4 linked regions of the Cricetulus griseus genome follow. The protein of the gene in region 1 interacts with the protein of each later gene in a biochemical or structural test. Links are inferred from orthologs where the notes say so. Each region holds a gene or a part of one and is shown on either strand. Other genes may lie near its edges.

The links. The genes of interacting proteins can lie anywhere in the genome.
Region 2: of the proteins of Fbxw7 (region 1) and Ccne1, one has a biochemical effect on the other in vitro, tested with the Homo sapiens proteins (18 studies listed by BioGRID and IntAct, with this or other methods). The link is inferred for Cricetulus griseus from reciprocal best matches to the Homo sapiens genes FBXW7 and CCNE1.
Region 3: the proteins of Fbxw7 (region 1) and Klf5 form a complex in vitro, tested with the Homo sapiens proteins (2 studies listed by BioGRID, with this or other methods). The link is inferred for Cricetulus griseus from reciprocal best matches to the Homo sapiens genes FBXW7 and KLF5.
Region 4: the proteins of Fbxw7 (region 1) and Srebf1 form a complex in vitro, tested with the Homo sapiens proteins (3 studies listed by BioGRID, with this or other methods). The link is inferred for Cricetulus griseus from reciprocal best matches to the Homo sapiens genes FBXW7 and SREBF1.

What each region holds. Positions count from the first base shown.
Region 1 is NW_023276806.1:69,439,478-69,443,729, forward strand, and holds part of Fbxw7 (F-box/WD repeat-containing protein 7), read right to left. Parts: intron 4,107-4,252; coding exon 3,993-4,106; intron 2,578-3,992; coding exon 2,396-2,577; intron 650-2,395; coding exon 424-649; intron 1-423. UniProt on the Homo sapiens protein: Substrate recognition component of a SCF (SKP1-CUL1-F-box protein) E3 ubiquitin-protein ligase complex which mediates the ubiquitination and subsequent proteasomal degradation of target proteins.
Region 2 is NC_048602.1:233,749-238,729, reverse strand, and holds the start of Ccne1 (G1/S-specific cyclin-E1), read right to left. Parts: upstream 3,128-4,981; 5' UTR 2,975-3,127; intron 2,524-2,974; 5' UTR 2,497-2,523; coding exon 2,474-2,496; intron 2,367-2,473; coding exon 2,279-2,366; intron 2,034-2,278; coding exon 1,965-2,033; intron 1-1,964. UniProt on the Homo sapiens protein: Essential for the control of the cell cycle at the G1/S (start) transition.
Region 3 is NW_023276807.1:251,130,206-251,135,004, reverse strand, and holds the start of Klf5 (Krueppel-like factor 5), read right to left. Parts: upstream 3,128-4,799; 5' UTR 2,847-3,127; coding exon 2,610-2,846; intron 1,669-2,609; exon of another isoform or gene 1,518-1,668; intron 429-1,517; coding exon 1-428. UniProt on the Homo sapiens protein: Transcription factor that binds to GC box promoter elements. Activates the transcription of these genes.
Region 4 is NC_048600.1:74,353,514-74,358,558, forward strand, and holds the start of Srebf1 (sterol regulatory element-binding protein 1), read right to left. Parts: upstream 3,128-5,045; 5' UTR 3,098-3,127; coding exon 3,007-3,097; intron 1-3,006.

The sequences.
Region 1 (4,252 bases):
CTATGTAGCTTTCTGCAGAGAGTCTCCACGGCTACTTTAAATGGGGATAGAATCACAATTACACGGCCCATCAACTTTTAGTTATCAAGGCAAAGGGGCAGCTTTTGGCCAAATTAATCCTCAGCTAAGGAGTTTATTAAGATCCAAGTTATTCTCCTATGAGATTATCTATTAATTAATGTGGCAAAATTTACAGCCCTGAAGTATCAGGTTTTAAGACAAATATTTGCATTTTAAAGAGAAAATGGATCATAGAAATCGAAGCCATTAAATCAGCTAAATGATTTTGAAATTTATTGTTTTCTTCATGGTAATTTTAAGGTATATATAAACAGCAACTTGACGGTAACTAGCTGAAAAGAAAAATCTTATGAGTCATCACCAGAGCATCTAGGGGTGTGGATGGGTGAGACAGCTTCTTACCTGTAATGAATAGACTCTATTAGTGTGTCCCTGCAACGTGTGTAGACAGGTCTCAGTCTCTGGGTCCCACACCTTCACCATAAAATCATATGCTCCACTAACAACCCTCCTGCCATCATATTGTACACAGCGGACCGCTGCTACATGACCCATCAAGACATGTAAACACTGGCCAGTCTCAATATCCCAAACCCTAAGAGTGGCATCTCGAGAACCGCTAACAACTCTGCAGAGAGGAAACAGAAAACAAGGTATTAGAATTCTGAAGAGCACAAATGCACATAGCCTGCAAAACAGTGTTCGCTTTCTCTTCATAAACAGAACAGAAACACTTTAACAAGAATCACTACCCTAATGCCTTCAGATATAAATTCAAGTTACTCTGCCTGGAATGGGAAGTGAGGAAGACTAGAAGTCCATGACTTAAGGAAACAACCTCACCCTATTCAAGAAGCAAGCAGCTCTCCATACATACAATTTATCTTGATTAGAAGTGAAATGGTAGCATGGTACACGCAGCTCAACCCTCAATGCAGAATTAGGTGGTATTAAACTTAGAACAATCCAGAACTGTTTTTAATATCTTTGTCCTTCCATTACATTTCAATTATGAACTCCTATTACCTATTTGAGAAAGTAAACTTTTCAATATGATTATTTTTCAAAAAAAAAATTTTACATTTAATTTGGGTCTCAGAAAACTAGGGCTGTTTTCTTATACTTCCCATGCAGGGAATGCGGTTTCAGATATGTGCTGATACAGATTTTTAAAGATATTCCTATAGAAGTAACAGAAATTGGCTCAATGTTATAAAATTATACTGTTCTAAAAAGAGGAGTGATACAACCATGCAGTTACCTCTGGATTGCTAACCAGGTACCTTTATGTCACATTCCCAAGAGATAAAAGTCAGTCTCTGTATTTGGAAGAGTGGAATGATTAAGTGTGGGAAAATGAATGCAACCAACATGGAAATGCAAGGTCTCTTGAAACTCATCCCTTAAATTTTAATCACACAACACACTGTGCAAAGTGGTTCAAATTGAAAGTAAAAAGGAGTCCCTGTATATATATCACACCTGCAGGGTACAGCCTACTTACCAAAACAGTTCTTAATAGATAAAGCAGCATGGACAGAGTTACAGGTCATGGCTGCTCTGCTGTGAACTCGTTATAATGATTCTTCTAAGATACATTCTTTTAGAGGAAGGGTCTCCTCTAAAAAGCTGTGACTTCAAGGATTCTCCTGTCTCTATCTTTCCAGTGCAAAGATTAGCAGCATGTTCTCATATCAGGCCAAAAGAATATTTTTTGACAAATGAAGTAGAAAACACAATTTTTTAGCTAGGTGCAATGAAGATGTGTCAACAGAAGGACATGATTGTAGCAGAAGACACTGCAGGTAAGATACAAAGCACCAGGCAGAGGCACCAGGAAAGAATGGACTAGCAGGCCAGACGTGGCTGAAACAATCCTAATACCAGAGCTCTCTGCCAGCTGTGCAAAAGTCAGGACCTGAGATCTCTGCATAGTTCAGATGACAGGTAATGAGAAAATAAGTGAAAGCCCTGGACCTCAGTGTTTGTTCAGATCTAGGGACATGATGGAGTGGGGGCAAAGTGGGTGGGTCACTCAAGGATTCAGGCTAATGTCGAAGTGACTGAATTTGTTGCTCCTACATATGACTGTCAAGAAAGAAAATGATTTTTTTGAAGATGATGAGTCACCAAACGAACAACAAAGGGGATTAGAGAGCTGAGCGTCAAGAAAAATGATTGTACAGTCATTGAATGAAAAAGAAAATTTTAAGACAATCCTCCAATTTTAAGCCAATATAACCTGATTTTACTAACTAAGGAATATTGCACTGTAATCATTAGTATCAACTTTTGGAGCTCATTAGCACTATTTGAATCTCAAATTCACAAGTAACAGACGTGAAAGTCCCCATCATAATGGGATTTCCTTTACCTTTTTTCATGGAGATGCATACAGCGTACAGTGGAAGTGTGCCCATATAAAGTATGTATACACTCTCCAGTCTCAGCATTCCATACTTTGAGAGTCCGGTCAGTGGATCCACTAATGATGATATTGTCTCTCATCTGTGATGACCATACTCCACCTGTGTGTCCCACTAATGTTCTTAGACACTGAAAAAACACTTCAGATGATTAATTTTAGGTAGAAATGAAAGCAAGTCAAAAAATATACTAACATCTCATTAGAATCTGGAATAAAGTCTTACATATTCAACTTTATTAGATCACCAGGAAAGCATCTACACATCGATGCTACATGACACCATTATTACCGAATTGTTTATTTTGTAGCAGTATATGCTTATGCATGCATAGCAAACATGATATGAAACAGACAGGACTGGAGAGATGATGGTTCAGTGGCTAAGAGCGCCAGCTGCTCTTTCAGGGACCTGGGGTTTGAGTCCCAGCACCTAGTGCCTTACAACCACCTATAACTCCAATGCCAGGGAATCTGATGCCCTCTTCTGGTCTCTGAGGGCACCTGGCATGTATGTGGTACACACACACAAACACAAAATAATAAAATGAAGTAAAGAAATTTAAGAAGAATCATTTGATACAAAGCATAAGACATGGCAGAAAGCAAACATAATGTAATACAAGCAAGTTCAACAGCTCTAGCCTGACCACTATGATTAAATAATATTAAAACTGCAAAAGGGTGCCTCCCATGGAGGAGAACCAAGGCAAGAATGCCAAGAGAGTTGGGTGTGGCCACATACCACAGTGCATCCGTCTGCCTTAAGGCAGTAGTTAGGGGCTGGCCATGCTACTCTAGACATGTAAAGACAGACACTGAGACTCTGAGATAAGTCCAAAACTAGTATTATATCCTGGAAACGTGTAGCTGCTCTGAAAATTTTAACATCTGCTTTGGGTATTTATAAGAGTCTTGTCCAAGGAACAACACAGCGAAAGACATTTTTTTTTAAAACATACTGTCTTCTTTTACCTTTTAAATGATTGATTACTTAATTCATAAAAAAAATTCTCCTTTGGACAGATAAAGTCAATATTCACTAGCGACTCATTAAGGAATGCTATGTGAAATAAAGCTACTGCTTGGCTCTTCAACCCAGTATTTAAAACCTCCCCTGCTTCATTTCCTTACCATTCAAGTCTGAGACAACTTTAGATTAACAGGATTTACTTGATTTCTAAATTATAGATAGCTCAGCAACAAAGCAGTCTACAAGGAAAATTACAAATCACTCAGTCATATTTTGGAAGACGTTAGGGAGCCATGATGGGAAAGGTGAGACGGAAGCTCAGAGAAGAGGGGCATCTGAGAAATCTTAGAATATCTAAGGAAAAAGACAACAAACTATTTAAATGAAGAAAACACCACTGCCACCATGCCAAAGTGACATAACCACAGGAAGAAGGACCACATTTCTAAAGACATTTTGTTATTTGTTATCAAATATTTGTTATCAAAACAGCTGAGGATCCAACACCCCACTTTACTGTGACTGCACACACAAAATGGTGACTCATAGAAGTATGGAAAGAAGTGAACTTACTTTGCCCGTGACTGCTGACCAAACTTTTAAAGTGTTGTCATCAGAACCACTAACTATGCGGTTACCACAAAACTGTAGGCATGTGATCACATGATCATCATGCCCTTTCAGCACCTATAAGAAAAATGTACACATCACATGTATGTTATTACAACACATTCTTTAAAATACAGTGAAGTGCTACAGAGATGGCTCAGACATACAGGACCTGGGGCCAAATCCCCAAAACTCACATAAAAACTGGGCAGAGCTACACACAG
Region 2 (4,981 bases), on another chromosome or scaffold:
CTAAGGCTACAAAGAGAAACCCTGTCTCAATAAAACCAAGGGAAGTAATAGATTTTTATTACAACAGGGCATTCTTCTCATTTAGAATAACTCAGGTGGTAGGGTACACGCTTCTAATCCTAGCACTCTGGAGGCTGGAGGCAGGGATTCACTAAGTTTGAGGTCAGCCTGGTTCACATACAGGGACTCTGTTTCAAAAGCAAAAATAACAGCTGAAGAATCAAAGATCTTGCCAGGTGGTCGGGTGGTGGTGACGCACGCCTTTAATCCCAGCACTCGGGAGGCAGAGGCAGGTGGATCTCTGTGAGTTTGAGACCAGCCTGGTCTACAAGAGCTAGTTCCAGGACAGCCTCCAAAGCCACAGAGAAACCCTGTCTCAAAAAAACAGAACAATAAAAAAACAAAAACAAAGATCTTTGTTGATGTTCAGCATCACTGAACTTAATATGACTGCTCTCACTGGCTCAAAGTTGTTGCACTGGGGTTCACAACTCCACAGAAAAATTCTGTGCTGTTCAGACAAACACAAAACGCCACAAAGTTCATGAGTCTTCACTGAAAAGGAAAATACAGTACATGAGCAGTTTGTAAGCTCATCTTGGACAACCTTGAAAATGGCCTTCTCATAGGAACTGATGTGACAGTTACAATTGGATTCTTGCTGCTGCCCCATTTGTGGGTCTCCACAGCCCAGACAAGGAACCAGTCCTTTCTTGGACACTCTGAACACTGCTATGGTTATCCTGAGAGCAGAAGTGAGCCTGAATCTCCACAAAGCCATCATGGATGGCTTGCTTCATTTTCACTTGGAAATTTCTATTGAAAACAGGGCTGGCAATGCAAACAATTGAATCCTCCAAAGCATGGTTACCTTATAATAAATTCCTTTCTTTGGGGGATTTTTTTCTAACAGGACGAGAAACTGACTTTTTAAAGGGGTCCTCTCTAGAAATACACATTACTGTAGTTCTGGGTGCCAGGACATCATTGCCCAGAAAGCATTATTCAGAACTGGCTGCCTCTCGCTGCTCTACAAGTCACTGCTAACCTCTTTGGGACAAGAGATGAGGTCAACAGAATACTGTTCTTGCTCACTTTATCTGTGATGAAGGCTGAAGGTCTCACCAGCCCCTTCGAGATAGGCTGTTTCCCCCGCTGGAGCCATAACTATAGTCTCCAGCCATTTCTGGAGGCAAAGAGATAATACAAACTCTCTCTGCAAGGATCTGCTGATATTATGATACCAGGCTGCATTCGAAAGATCTGGCAGGCACTACGCAGGGAGGGACAGAAATGGAGCAGCCAGTGAAATACTGGTTGAAACATACGTCACTTCAGACCCCTGCTGAGACCAGGCAAAGCCCAAACAGCAGAGATCAAAGTGGTTAAGTGATGGTGGCCACAAAGAGAAAAGTCTTCATTTTTGTTTTTCCAATAGAATCTCACTATATATGGTCTGGGCTATCCTGGAGCTCAGATCTCCCACCTTTGCTTCCCTATTGCTGGAATTAAAGGATCGTACCATCATTCTTAGCAAGAGGATAAAAGTTTGAAATTTGACCTAAAGGGATGGAAGAAGTCCATATTTGACACAATAAAACCACACATGAGGATGAGGGAGTAGTTGGGAATCCTATCCTCCAAGTCACTGGCCTTTGGCACCAAGGCTATAGGCCCAGCTTTGCTATGGGCTTGCAAAGGGCTCTCTCTGGGTTGCCTTCTGAGTCTCTTTCCTCCCGGGCTTACAGAGGACCAAATTATATGATGCTCCCTCTGGTTCCTTCAGGCTTCAGTACCTGTAAGCTCAGAGGTGCTACTTAAGAAACACAAACCCTTCCCACAACCCCAGGCCCAAGAGAAGCCAGGCCACACTGACAGGCTCCCGTGGTTCGGCCATGTGGCCTGCGGCTCTGGTTTGGGAAACTTGGAAGAAAGAAAGCATGGAACTCAAGAGAAAGACCTACCTGACTGCTATCCTGGCTTTTCACAGTCTTGTCAACTCTGGCGATTTCTTCATCTGGATCTTGCAAAAACTAACAAAAACAACAACAACAACAAAATCCCAATCCACCAAGGGAACAAACACATGGAGCAACCCAGAGACGGAGAGAAAGGGGGGATAGAAAGTTTGTTAGGCTGAGTTACATTAAACTAAATGAAACCTCCCCACCGACCAACTCTCTTCGCTGGTGGGTGGGAAGACCCAAATCGGGTACCCAGGTAACCGGGGGGCGGCGGTGGGGGGGGGTCCTTCCCAACCTGTGTCCTTTGTACTCACAACGGCCACATTCGCCTTCCTTTTCCTGGAGCGCACCGAGGAGTCAGGGCCACCTTCTTCCCTGATGCCGCCGTGGTCCTGGGCATCTCTGCAGAGGCTGGGTGTCAGGGAGATGCTGCCCCCCCACCCCCGCCCCCGCCGCCCCTCCCCCACCACCCCTCCCTCCTCCCCCCCTGCAGCAGCGAGGCCGCTCACCTCTCCTTCCTCTCCCGTGGCATGGCGCGGGCAGGGCTCCGATCTCAGACCTGGGGGTTACACCAAGCGGGCACCTCGGTGAGCGCGACCCCTCCCCTCCCCTCCCCTCCCTCCCGCGCGGGCAGCGGCGGCGGCGGCCGGAGCCTCCGGAGCCTCCGGGGCCCGGGCCGGGAAGATGGCGATCGGCCGGGCGGCTTGTCACCCGCGGGCGCCCCTGGCAGCCTGCGACCCCGGGTTCGAACCCGAGGCCGGGGGTGGAGGCCCGGGACGCCCTCCGAGGGGACCCCCGACCCATCCACCATCGCGCCGGAGCCGGGGCTGCCGGGGTCCCCGTGCACAGCTCCCCGTGACCCGTCCGTCTCAGAGCCACCGGGCAGGGGCGACGCGAGCGGAGACCCCCGGGGGACCGGGCCACCCGGCCCTACCCCACCCCCACCCGCTCGCCCGGGCCCGGCCCGGTGCTGTGCGGTCCCGTCCGGTCCGGACGCGCGGGAGTCGTACCCGAGGCTGTGTCCTGCTTGCGGAGGGCGAGCGGGCGGGCGGGCGAGCGAGCGAGCGCACGGGAGGCGGGAGGCCGGCGGGCGGGCGGGAAGCAGGAGGCGGGAGGCGGGAGGCGGCGGCCGGGCGCCGGGCGCTGGCGGGATCCGCGCCTGCCCCCTACACCGCGCTGGCTGCCGAGCCGGCTGCTCCTGCGCCCGGCTTCGAGCGGGACATTTAAAATCCCAGCAGCGCGCGCACCGGCCCGGGCCCGCCCTCCGGCCCCCGCCCCGCCCTCGGCCCCGCCCCTCCCCGCGCAGGCCCCGCCCCCGGCCCGCCAGCCCTCAGCGGCCGCCGCAGCCCCCGGCCCCGCCCCTTCGTCGCGCGGGCCGGCCAGGAGCTTCCCGAGGGGCGGGGCCTGCGGGCCGGAGGTGGGCGGGGTCTCGGGCAAAGGGGCGGGAGTAAGTCACAGGGCCTGCGCGCCGGAGGGGCGGGGCGCGACGCGGTGGGCGGGGCCTGCGCGGGGCGGGGCCGGCGGACGCGGGAGATTCTTGGCGCGAGCGCTCGGGGCGTCCGGGGCCCGCGGGGAGCCGCGTGGGCCGCGCGGGCGGGGTGCGGGCCCGGCCGAGCGCAGCCATCGGGCCGCAGCCGTCCCCTGCCGGGCTCCGGGGGGGCGCGCCCGGGCCGCCGGGGTGAAGATCCCGCGTCCGCCGTCCTCCCGCGCGCCCGTGCGTCCTCCCCGCCCCCGAGACGCAGAGTTCCGGGCCAGAGTCCCCGACCCGGTGTCCCCAAGGTCACCGCGGCGCGTGGCGTGAGGTCCCCAGTGCCAGCGAGCCCTTGGATTCATCGGTGCCTCCCGGTCCTCCCGTCCGTCCATTCATTGGTTCGCTCATTCATTCATTTATACATTCATTCATTCATTCATTCATTCAGCTACCCACGCCCCTCCTGCTCTCCGGCACACATCGCCCCGCCCGCAGGCCATCAGGCCTCTCGGGGGGTCCACGGGAGGTGAGGATGTCCCCAAGGGTTTCCGTGCATCTCCGAATGAATGAGCTCAGCCTCTCACACCCGCCTCCCGCCGGATCCGCTGCCCTTTCTCACCCCTGCCCGACCCATTCCGGCTAAACCGCTTCCGGAGCACGCGAAGGTCTGCGGTGACCTCTTCCCAGGACCCCAGAAGGACACTTGCCTCGTGTTAGGGGGAGCATGATACAAGGAACCACGCTGACCCCCCCCCCCCAGGACAGTGACCGAGCGGGACACACCGCACGGTGCCCGGTGGCAAGGACAGGCCGTCCTGACTCCACTTGCAGCGTATGCAATAAACCCGGGGCCCTTCCTCGGGGTCAGCCTGTCTCCTGTCCCTCAGCGACTGCCAGCTATCGCTCAAAGCTGGGCGCGCCCTTCCCGCGGGTCCCGACCAGCGCGCTGGTGATGCCCCTGGCTGCTGAGATGACATGGTTACCTGCTGGTAACAACAGCACATGGTAACTTAACAGGATGCAACTTTCCGCCAAGTCCTTTAAAGTTAAAGCCCATCCCCATGAATTTAACAGTATTTCTTTCATGCGATTCCACGGTGACCCTAGTTGACAAGCCACAGGTATCAGCCAGGCGGTGGTGGCGCACACCTTTAATCCCAGCACTACGGAGGCAGAGCCAGGCGGATCTCTGTGAGTTTGAGACCAGCCTGGTCTACAGAGCGAGTGCCAGGACAACCTCCAAAGCCACAGAGAAACCTTGTCTCGAAAACCCCCACAGCTATCTAACCGTTTACATTCGCTGTGCTAAGGGAGACATGAATCAGGCCTACAGTAAATGCTCAGTAAATGTTCTATTGTAGCAGCGATAGAGTTTTCTTTATGGTTCCGTCAAAAAAGAATGGACATTCCAGATTCATCATGTCCTAACAATAAAATAGATGACTTAAAGACTAAATAATACAAATCACAAATCACTGAAAGAATCCCACACTCAAGAAGACAAAACACAGATTGGGCGTGGTAGCACACACCTTTAATCACAGCA
Region 3 (4,799 bases), on another chromosome or scaffold:
TGGTACAGGTGGCCCTGCTGGGAAGGGACAGAGAGATGAAGATCTGGCGTAGGAAGTTCTTGTTTGATGAAGATATTGTTCACCTCTGGAGCTGTGTTCTGATGGGAGCTGAATATACTGTTGAACTCAGGGAGGGCCTGGGTAGGGGCTGGAGGAGGGGCGGTCGTCTCGCTCTGGTGGCTGAAAATGGCAACAGGCTCTGTCTTGATCTGTGTAACGCATGGTCTCTGGGATTTGTAGAGGCCAGTTCTCAGGTGGGTGATGTCGGGGAGGAAGACGTTCATGTTGATACTGTAAGGTAAGCCTTCACTGTCAGTGAAGAACTGGTCTACCACTGAGGCACTGTCTCGTCTATACTTCTTATGCTCTGAAACAATTGGAACTGGAGGAAGCTGAGGTGTCAGATACTTCTCCATTTCACATCTTGTCTAAAAAAGAAGAGATACAAATACACAATGAGTCTACCAATTCACTCAGGTAGGATAAACAAACAGGACTAACTAAAAACTCACAACACTAGTATGGGTACGGGGGCCAGCTCCTAGAGCTGCTTATAAACACAGAGTTTTATTTTGTCAATTGTGTAATTATTGGTTAACCAAAAGTCTGTATGGCATGTCTTTAGTAAAATCACTCCCCAAATCATCGGCAGACAAAAGTGAAAGAGGCAAGGGGGTGGGGGCAAGGACAAAACATCTTCCTTTCCAACGCAATCAAGTCTCACCCCAAGAAAGATAATTCTGCAATCTAAGTACAGTATCAGAGTATGACCCAAACTGCCCCACTTCTGTTCATACCCATTACATTTAACATGTTTCATTTGAAAACTAAAACCTTTGCAAACCTTAAAAAAATAATATTTATGTGGGTAGAGTTAGGTATCTCAGGCCTAACATGAAATGTTCTCTGGCCATTTCAGTGCCTTTTGATTAACAAAAAAAAAAAAAAAAAAAAATCCAATGTTTGAAGCAAACCCTTGTATCCGCTAAAACAAAACAATTACAGGTTCAACGCTTGATGTAAATGTTGATTTTAACCAGCAGATTCGGTAATTGGTTAATGTAATAATGAAATGTTCCTATTCATTTCCCTATCTAAAACAGATCTTTAATTATCAAGGAGAAAATCATTCCCTTGGTAGACTGGTGCTAGGACGCCCGTGGGTGGGGAGAGGCTGCTCGATTGCCAGCACACTCATCAGCAAAACATTTATCATGTCCTCTCCGTGGGCCAATGCTACATTCCCCCTTCCTCTGTAAAAAGCGCAGTCATCCCTCACCCTACTGCTATCTCCCGAGAGAAAACTGCCAAAGTGAAACAACCAAGTATCCCCCAGGCCCTGATTGTTTAAGAAATAGACAATGCAGCTTCCGACCTGCCTGTCTTCCCAGCAATTCTCTCCCAACATATAAAAGCTTAATTTTTCCTCTCAATTCCTCTTGACATTGAAGAGCAGCTCAGAAAAAGGACAAAACCCAACTAAATGAAATAGTTCACAGAATAAGAAACCACTGCACCTCAGTTGGTAAACAGGAGTCCTATTTTTGCTCCTAAATTTCAAAAGAATTTCATCTCGGACCTCAGATCATTAAGATCTGGTTGTGGACGACGACGGACGGGATTTCCCGGATATGCACGACTTAAAAATAAAGATTCATGCTCTGGCCATGTGAGTCACATCTGACAAATGCCACTGTCCTCTCAAAGCACGACGACACTGGCAGACCCCGCGAAGTAGGTGCTGGGTGCAAATACACAATACGGCAAGAGGCTATTAAACCAAGCCTCTTGAAATAAACCAAACTAAACCCTTTCGTGCACTGCGCTCCCGCGGCGGTTAGTGGTTTCTGATTTTAGCTCTTCCAGCTGTTTGCATGTGGGTCTGTTTCCAATTTTTTTTTTCTTTGGGAGTAGCTAAAAGTCCCGGGAAGTTTTTTTTTTTTTTTTCTTGGGCTATATGACTCCCGTGCGTGGGCGAAAGAAACAGGCGCTTGCTCTAATTCGGCTGCTGGGCAAGTGTAAAAGCCAACTGCCAGCTTTCAACGCGACTCCGGGAGGAAATTTACGCGCACATGAAGAAAACAACACCCGTGGCCTTTTTGTACGCGTGTTCCTTTTTTAGGAAAAAAGCAGTGTTCTAATACAACCTTAGATCTTCTGACCCTAGTTTCCCAAACGGGGCCTTACAGCCCATTCTAGGGTGAGCTACAGGGGTATGGAACCCCAGGACTCCATCTGCAATTTCCACATCCCCGAAGGACGCAGGCAGGTGGACTTCCTAGGCCAGGACCATCCGGAGAGAGTGGTCAAGGTGACGCAATTTAAGTTGAGCGTGGATATAAGCTTTCATTCCCACGCAAGAAAACAGACAAGGTGCGCGTGAGCGCGCGGCTGTGTTCAGCCTCCTCTGGGCAGATCGGGGTGGGCGATGCCCCGGGCCCTCCGCTCCCCCATCCACTCCCCGGCGCCCCGTCTGGAAGCGCAGGGCGGGGCTGCCCACCCGGGCACCGGCTCCCGCGCGTCCCAGCCTGGAGCGGCCCCTGTCGCCCGCGCCTCGCAGTGGCGGGACACGCCCGAGCCGGGGGAGGGAGGCCGGCCGCTCTGCTTACCTGGACCAGCTCCTCCGAGGGCAGCCGCGGGCCGGCGGCCGGCGGCGGCGCGGGCTGCGCAGGCGGGTGGTGGTGCGCGTGTTTGAGATCGTCGCCGGGGAAGAGCGCCGCGTCGCGGGCCGGGTTCGCAGCGCCCAGCACCGGCTTGAGCTGCGCGAACACCGGCTCGTCCTGTGTGGCCGGTGGCTGGGACACGGGTCCCAGGCGGGCGCCCATGGTCAGCACCCGCGTGGCCATGGGCGGTCGGGGGGTCTACGGGCGTGGATCACCGGGTGATCGCGATTCCCACCTCGCCCGGGCTGGCGCCGGACTGCGGACTCGGCGCGGGGCGGCTGCGGGGGGGACCCCTAGGCCGGCGGCCAGCGGCTCACGAAGGCGGGCACGTAGATCGGGACTCCTGGGCTCGGCCACGCGTCACCGCCGAGGTCCTCCAGCCGCCACTTTCTCCCGCCCCGCCCCAGCGCTCGCCGGAACCCTCTCCCGCCACCTCCGAGCTCCACCAAGCAAGCTGCAAGCGCGCGTACCTGCCCCGCGACTACTGACACTTGACGCCCGCCTCTATTTCACCCAACTCCAGGGAGGCAGGACCAGCTCACCCGACTGGCAGCGTCGTGGCCAATAGCAAGGCCCCAGGGCCAGCGGCTAGCCAATGGAAAGGAAGTCCCACGAGGTCCCGCCTCCGACGGGCCGACCGCACCCCTCGCGGGCCATGAGCTTCGCGCGCAGAGCAGGGGCGCAGTTTGTACACAACTTCTCTGACAGATTGGGCCCGCGGAGCTCAGGGCGGAGGGAAAGAGACAGCGGGTGGAATCTAGGAAGAGGGGGATCAGGGTGGAGACGCGAAGGGAGATCTCTCCGAACTGTTCTCTGCCAGGATTAGAGTGGAAAAAAAAAAAGTATCGCACGTCTTAGGTGTTGTGCAAGGACCTGAAAGTCGAAAGCTGAAGACAGAAGGTGGGGGAGCTGAGGTTCCCAGTCTTGTCCAATGAGTGTGTATTTTTAAGTATACAAAATGTACTTTGGAGGAAAACAAGGGGCGGTTCGGTAACAAATGTAAAAGCAGCTCTCATTTCTGTGTTTTCAGCAGTGATCTATCTATCCCTTAGCAGATCCCTTATGGCCTGGCTAAAAGCGTAATGTCAAGCATTTTTTCAAGTCCTTGCATACCAACCTAGGCATATTTCCCCCTACGGTATTTAAGTAGCTACAAGTTTTCACAGATATTTCTACCTTCCGTCGCTGTACGTGAGGAAGAGGTGGGGTTGGCCTTATGAATTATGAAGTTTTTAATATTTAAACCATGTTGATTCTAGCCGGAGCATGGAATCTAATTTAAGAACCAACAGCCAGCTCAACTGGGTATTTAAATACACATTACATCTCTGGCTTATTTTTGCTACCACTGTAGTCTCGGGGCGGGGGGGATGGAGTTTAATATTTTCAGATGAGACACATAGCCCATCTACCTAATACGGTGGCACCATTTCCTACGAAACGGGAACTAAAGCCACAAACATTTACAGATACTCAACAGCTCTGAAAACTGCCAATCCAAATCGGTAGGAACCTAACAGTCAAGTATATTACTACCCATTTACTAGGTTGTTTTAACGGAGGGTGGGTGTTTTTTAATTTTAAAATTTTGCCAGCAATCTCCGAAGGAAACAACGTTCCTTAATCCTTAGTGTTCTTGTACATGACTTTCATGTGGCTTATTGTGAAGCCAGAATAATAAGCTGGGACAAAAATATCTGTAATATTTCAACCTATGTACATATGTTGACAGCACATATTACCTACAGAGAGCACACTGGCCATTTCACAGTGAAGCATCGATTAAAAAGTTCTTAAGGAAAAAAGCACCGCCAAGAGTATCACAGGTAGGAGTCTCCTTTCCAATATACAGGTAAATGAACGTGCACAGAAAGTATCACGTGCATTTTTTTTAAAGCAAAGATAAAATCATACTGTGAACTCAATTTCTTTTCTCCCTTTTCCTTCCTGTTAGTAATGATTCATTTTTATAGTTGTGGTTGCCGCTTTCAGAGGATGGGTGATGACTGCTTTCATGATACCAGAGTGTTATTAATAAGTGTCTTTGCACCTATGTCTCTAAGTGAACCACCTCATATGGTCAGCCTTCATCTTTAAAAACCTGGCCTCAGTTTTCTCTGTTGTTAAACACAATCA
Region 4 (5,045 bases), on another chromosome or scaffold:
GATGTACATCAGCGTTTTACCTGCATGTATGTCTGTGTGAGGGTGTTGGATCCCCTGGAACAGGAGTTACAGACAGTTGTGAACTTCCATGTGGTTGCTAGGAATTGAACCTGGGTCCTCTGGAGGAGCAGCCAGCGCTTTTAACCACTGAGCCATCTCTCCAGCCCCTTCACCTGGCAGTCTACCCACTACATCCTCGTGCCACCCAGCTGCACAAAATCTTGGGAGGCCAGAGTATACAAGAGGTAGGTTACCTGAAGGGGTGGGAGTGGTGGTGGCTCCAGGTACAACTTTCTAAAGGTCGTCACTCTGCTGGAGTGAGACCTGGCAGTGACACAGCTGTCTGGGAGTCTGCAGGATCCTGTGGTTGCTCACCCACACCAACTGTGGAGGTTTGAATAGGAATGGCCCCCACAGGCTCACAGATTTGAACAGCTGATCATCAAGGCATAGAACTACTTGAGAGGGATTAGGAGGTATTACCTTGTTGAAGTAGGTGTGGCCTTCTTAGAGGTATGTTGCTAGGGGTGGGCTTTTGGGTTTCAAAAGCTCAAGCCAGGCCCAGTGTCTCTTTTCTGGCCTTCGGATCTGGATAGAGAACTTTCAGCTACTTCTCCAGCACTATGTCTGTGTATATGCCACTATGCATTCCTGCCATGATGACAATGGACTAAACCTCTGAAACCAATGAAATGCTTCCTTTGTAAGAGTTGCTGTGGTCATGCAATATAATACTAAGACACCAATAAACTCACCGGTGCATGAAGCTGGACTTGGACGGAATCCTTTCTTTAGTCTGTCACAGTGCCCTATCAGATACATAGACACCTCTCCCTAAGGAGAGTCATACAATATTAGAACATAGACAGATCCAGTGTAAGGCCAGCACAAGAAAGGGGTCAGAACTCAGGAGGGCTTCTCAGTAAGTGGCATTGGACCTAGGCATACATCTTGGGCCAACAGACAGACCAGCTATTGAGGAGCTGTCTCTCCCAGGCCTTGGGCTCCCCAGGGCTCCAAGAGTAAGTAGCCAGTCTCAGACCAGAACTATGTCCATTTGCCTCCTCTGTCCTCAGTGCACAGTGCCACCAGCCTCCCAGTAGTCCCCATACAGGCTCCTCTCCCCAGCCTCTAGTGACCTGACACCAGGAACAAGGAGGAGCTGCTTTGAGGTCACAGCCAGCAGCAGGACTTGATGCTCTGAGCTCAGCATCACCCTCAGAAAGAAAGAAGGCTGTAAGTCCCACATCACTGGACATTTGTAGGACAACAGGTGGTAGTGGGCTGTTGGGCTCCAGGCATTGGCTGGCTCTCCCTGCCACTTTCCAGTCTTATGACCAATGCTGCTCTGGGCTGAGGGAGACAGCTGCATGGCTGACTTCTTAATCCAGCCTTGGGAGCCAAGGATCCAGGCTCTTGAGCCAGCAGCCTGAGTCTGAATTCTGGCTCTGCCTTGCTATGGCTGTGTGACCTTGGACAAGTCATTTAGCCTGCTTTTCAGTCTCTCATCTGTGAGATGAAAATGTTTTCCAACTGGGATTGTCAGAAGACCCACTGAGATCCTCATCATAGTGCCTGCCACACACCAAGTGCTCAAGAAGGGTTTGCCACCCATGTTATGATGGCCTACCCCAGTGCTGAAGAGGGGCTTTCTAAACAACGTCACTCTCCTTCTCCTGTCCCTTCTCCCACTGCCCTAGCCATATCTGGAACTCAGGCCTGCCCAGATGTTTTTCAACCCTCATTCCTCTTAGGTGACCCAACCTCTACCCCCAAGTCACCCCTCTCTAGCCCCAGCGACAAGCACACGTGGGTCTCTGAGTGATTCTCCCAGAGGCTTGCCTCTGGAGCTCAATGAGGATCTAGGCACAGCACACGCTAGGTGTCTATCAACAGATCATGGGATGGGGGTAAGGGAGAGAACACTCTACAGTAATCCCAGGGCACCATTGTAGTTTATAGATAACACACATTCGTGGTTGTCTGGGGTGGAGAAGAGTGTGAAGCCCTCAAACAGGCAAGAGAGATTCAATGTTTCGAGACTGCTGACAAGCCACCAGAGGTTATTGAATGGCCCGCCTAACATGTATACATCTTATGGTATGGAAAGTTTGGGGTTTTTTTTGTTGTTTGTTTGTTTGGTTTGTTTGGTTTTTTTTTTTTTTTTTTTTTGGAGGGGGGTTCGAGACAGGGTTTCTCTGTGTAGCTTTGGAGCCTATCCTGGCACTTTCTCTGGAGACCAGGCTAGCCTCGAACTCACAGAGATCCACCTGCCTCTGCCTCCTGAGTGCTGGGATTAAAGGCGAGCGCCACCAAATGCCAGTTTGTTTTTGTTTTCTTCCCCCACACCCACCCCAGCTGGTGGTGGTGGTTGAAGATGGAGATGAATCAAGCTGGGCAAGTTCAAGCGATGTTTTAAAAGATCTAAGTGGCCCAGGGTGTGGCTCAGGGCAGAAAGCCTGTTAATATGTTCTAGATCCTGGGTTACTGCCCCAGAATAGCAAAATTTGAAAAATATTTCGGAGAGCAGAAGCTGTGTTCCTTGTCTCACGCCCCCCACTCCCAACTCCTCAAACTTAGGTAGCGCCCCAGTGGCCTTTGCCTCTTACCTTGTCCTCCGCTAGAAAGTATCTTTGCTTGCTGATGCCGGGGCACCCCCCAGCACTAACACACCTAAGAGACCTCCCTGATCTCGATCCAAAGTAGCCAGATACTTGCATGCCCAGGTGCATGTAAAAATCCGTTTGTGGGCTTGCTTGGGGATTTTGGTGCATCCAAGAAACGAGAAAACCCAGGTCGGCCCGTGAACTGTCCACAGGGCCCAACCTGGAATTCAGCGGATGCTCAGCGAGTCCAGAAACCAAGCCCACCACAAGCTGGAGAGCTAACCCTCAATCCGAGGCGCACAACTGCGCAGTACGCACGCACGCGCAGAAGCTCCCGGCCAAGTGACCTCCCAGGACATGCGACCCCGCACAGGCCGCGCAGGAGCCCCGGGCCACGCACCTTGGATGTCGGTCAGCAGTGCGGCGTCCAGTTCGCCCAGCTCGTCCAGCGCCTGTTCCACAGCCGCCTCACCGAAAGGCAGCTCGTCCATGGCGGCGGCGCCCGCCAGGCTTCGCAGGAGGCCCGCCTTACCGAAAAGTTCCTCGGAAACTAGGTTCCGCAGGCGGAGCCACCCAAGCGGAGGGGCGGGGCTGCCCGCCAGGCCCTGCCCACCAACCGGCATCTGCAGGCTCCAGACAGCTCACCTAGACGGTTCAGAAAGCCGACTGGAGCCCGGTTTCCCGTAGCCTGTCTTAATCCATTATCAATCCCGCTGTTGGGGCAGAGAGGGCCAGTGGGCCTGAACAGCTCCTAAAGGAAGATTCTGGTCTCCTGGAAGACCTAGAAAAAGTGTGGATCCCAAGGTCAAGCAGCGACTCTGTAAAAGGAGCCCAGGGGAACTGAGCTCAGCTGCCTAGATCATGACCTAGACCCAGGCCAGGCCAGCAGCCTGAGTACTGAAAAGTGAACCCTGGGCCCTGTGACTTAGGGACAGGTAAAGCCGGTGGAAGGGGATAGGTTCCTCTAGGGTGGACTGAAGTAAACCTTTCTGGTCCACACTATTTGCAAGTGAGGAGACAGCAGCAACACGTAAGAATTAACCGGGTAGCCCGCCCCCGCCCCAGGGTCAGGACCCCAGGCCAGCTGGAACTGCCATGCTGAGACTCCAGGTACAGACTGGGCGACTGCTCTCACCTCCCAACCAGCAGAATTAGTTGTCTTTGGGCAAGGATGGAGTGTGTGTCTGGTTTCCACCTGAACACATTTTTGTCCCTCTCCCAGTGTGGCTGCTTAGAAAATTACTCAGAGTAAGGTGCTCAGGAGTGCTGGAACTATAAACCACCTCTCCCCGACATGGAGCCCTTGCTTTGGGGCCACTCTGCCTTGTCCCTCCCACCACCATCAGAAGACCCAGGAATTTGATGTTTCCTGAAAACTCAAACAGTCCTTCGCAGTCAGAAGGGTGAGGGTCTTCAGCGGTCAGTTGAGTTAATGCCTCACCTGCTTGTGTGTAGCCAGGGTCACTAATTGTCCAGAGTCTCTGCGGGAAAGGGCTCGGGGTTTGGAATCATCACAACATCACACCTTCTGAGAACTGAGTAAAATGTATACATAGCTCCACACACACACACATTCCGTTGCTGCAAGACTGGGGGAGCCGAAGGTAAAGTCAAAGAAAGACCTGTACCCACGACTAGAAAGCTCCCTTCGGAGCAAAGCCCAACACAAACCTCTGCTCCACAGGGTGGGCTTACAAGGGCAGCAGCCAAGGGGAAGCTTTCCTGGTAAAGGCTTGGAGAACTTCAGAGGAAGTTGGTGGTCTCTGTCTCAAACACCCGAGACCTCCCACCAAAGATCTCAGAACCCCTTGCTGGGGTCTTTGGTGCTTAGAACACAAGCGTGGTGTGGTGATCCTGGGCGGGGTGGGGTCTCAGCCTGGCCAACAAGGACCTGGGTCAGCTGGTTCAGCACCCTGCAGTCATGGGACATGCTTGTGACAAGCCGAAAACTTTTGTTATCTCGTTCAATCCTCCCAACAGACTAAGGAAAACGTCTGTTCCCATCCATTCCACAGATGAGGCAACTGAGGCAGGAGGAGAAGGGACTTGCCTAGGACTCCCCAGCGCTGCCTGAGGTTGTCCTGTACTGGGGACTGTTGCAGAGCAGGGTAGGCAGTGGGAGACCCCCCCCTCCCCGACTCTCGGTGCCAGAGGACTTGCCCTGTTCGCTGCCAATTGGGGCGGGGCCCCGAGTGGGGTGACGCGGCGTCAGCGTGCTCTGGCGGGACTCGGGCTTTGGTCACACGCCCGGCGCCTGCAGGAGTCGTGGGCGGGGCTGTAGGACCTGCGGACAACCGCTCTGCCTGGTGGGACTGACTGGTCCACCGCAAGCATGGCTTCCAAAGCCCAGATTTCCGTGCCTGCCCCGACTTGGTTACCTGGGGGACCAGTGTGCACCTCCCGGGTGGGCCCCACTCTAAGCCCTGGAGACACCGCTGG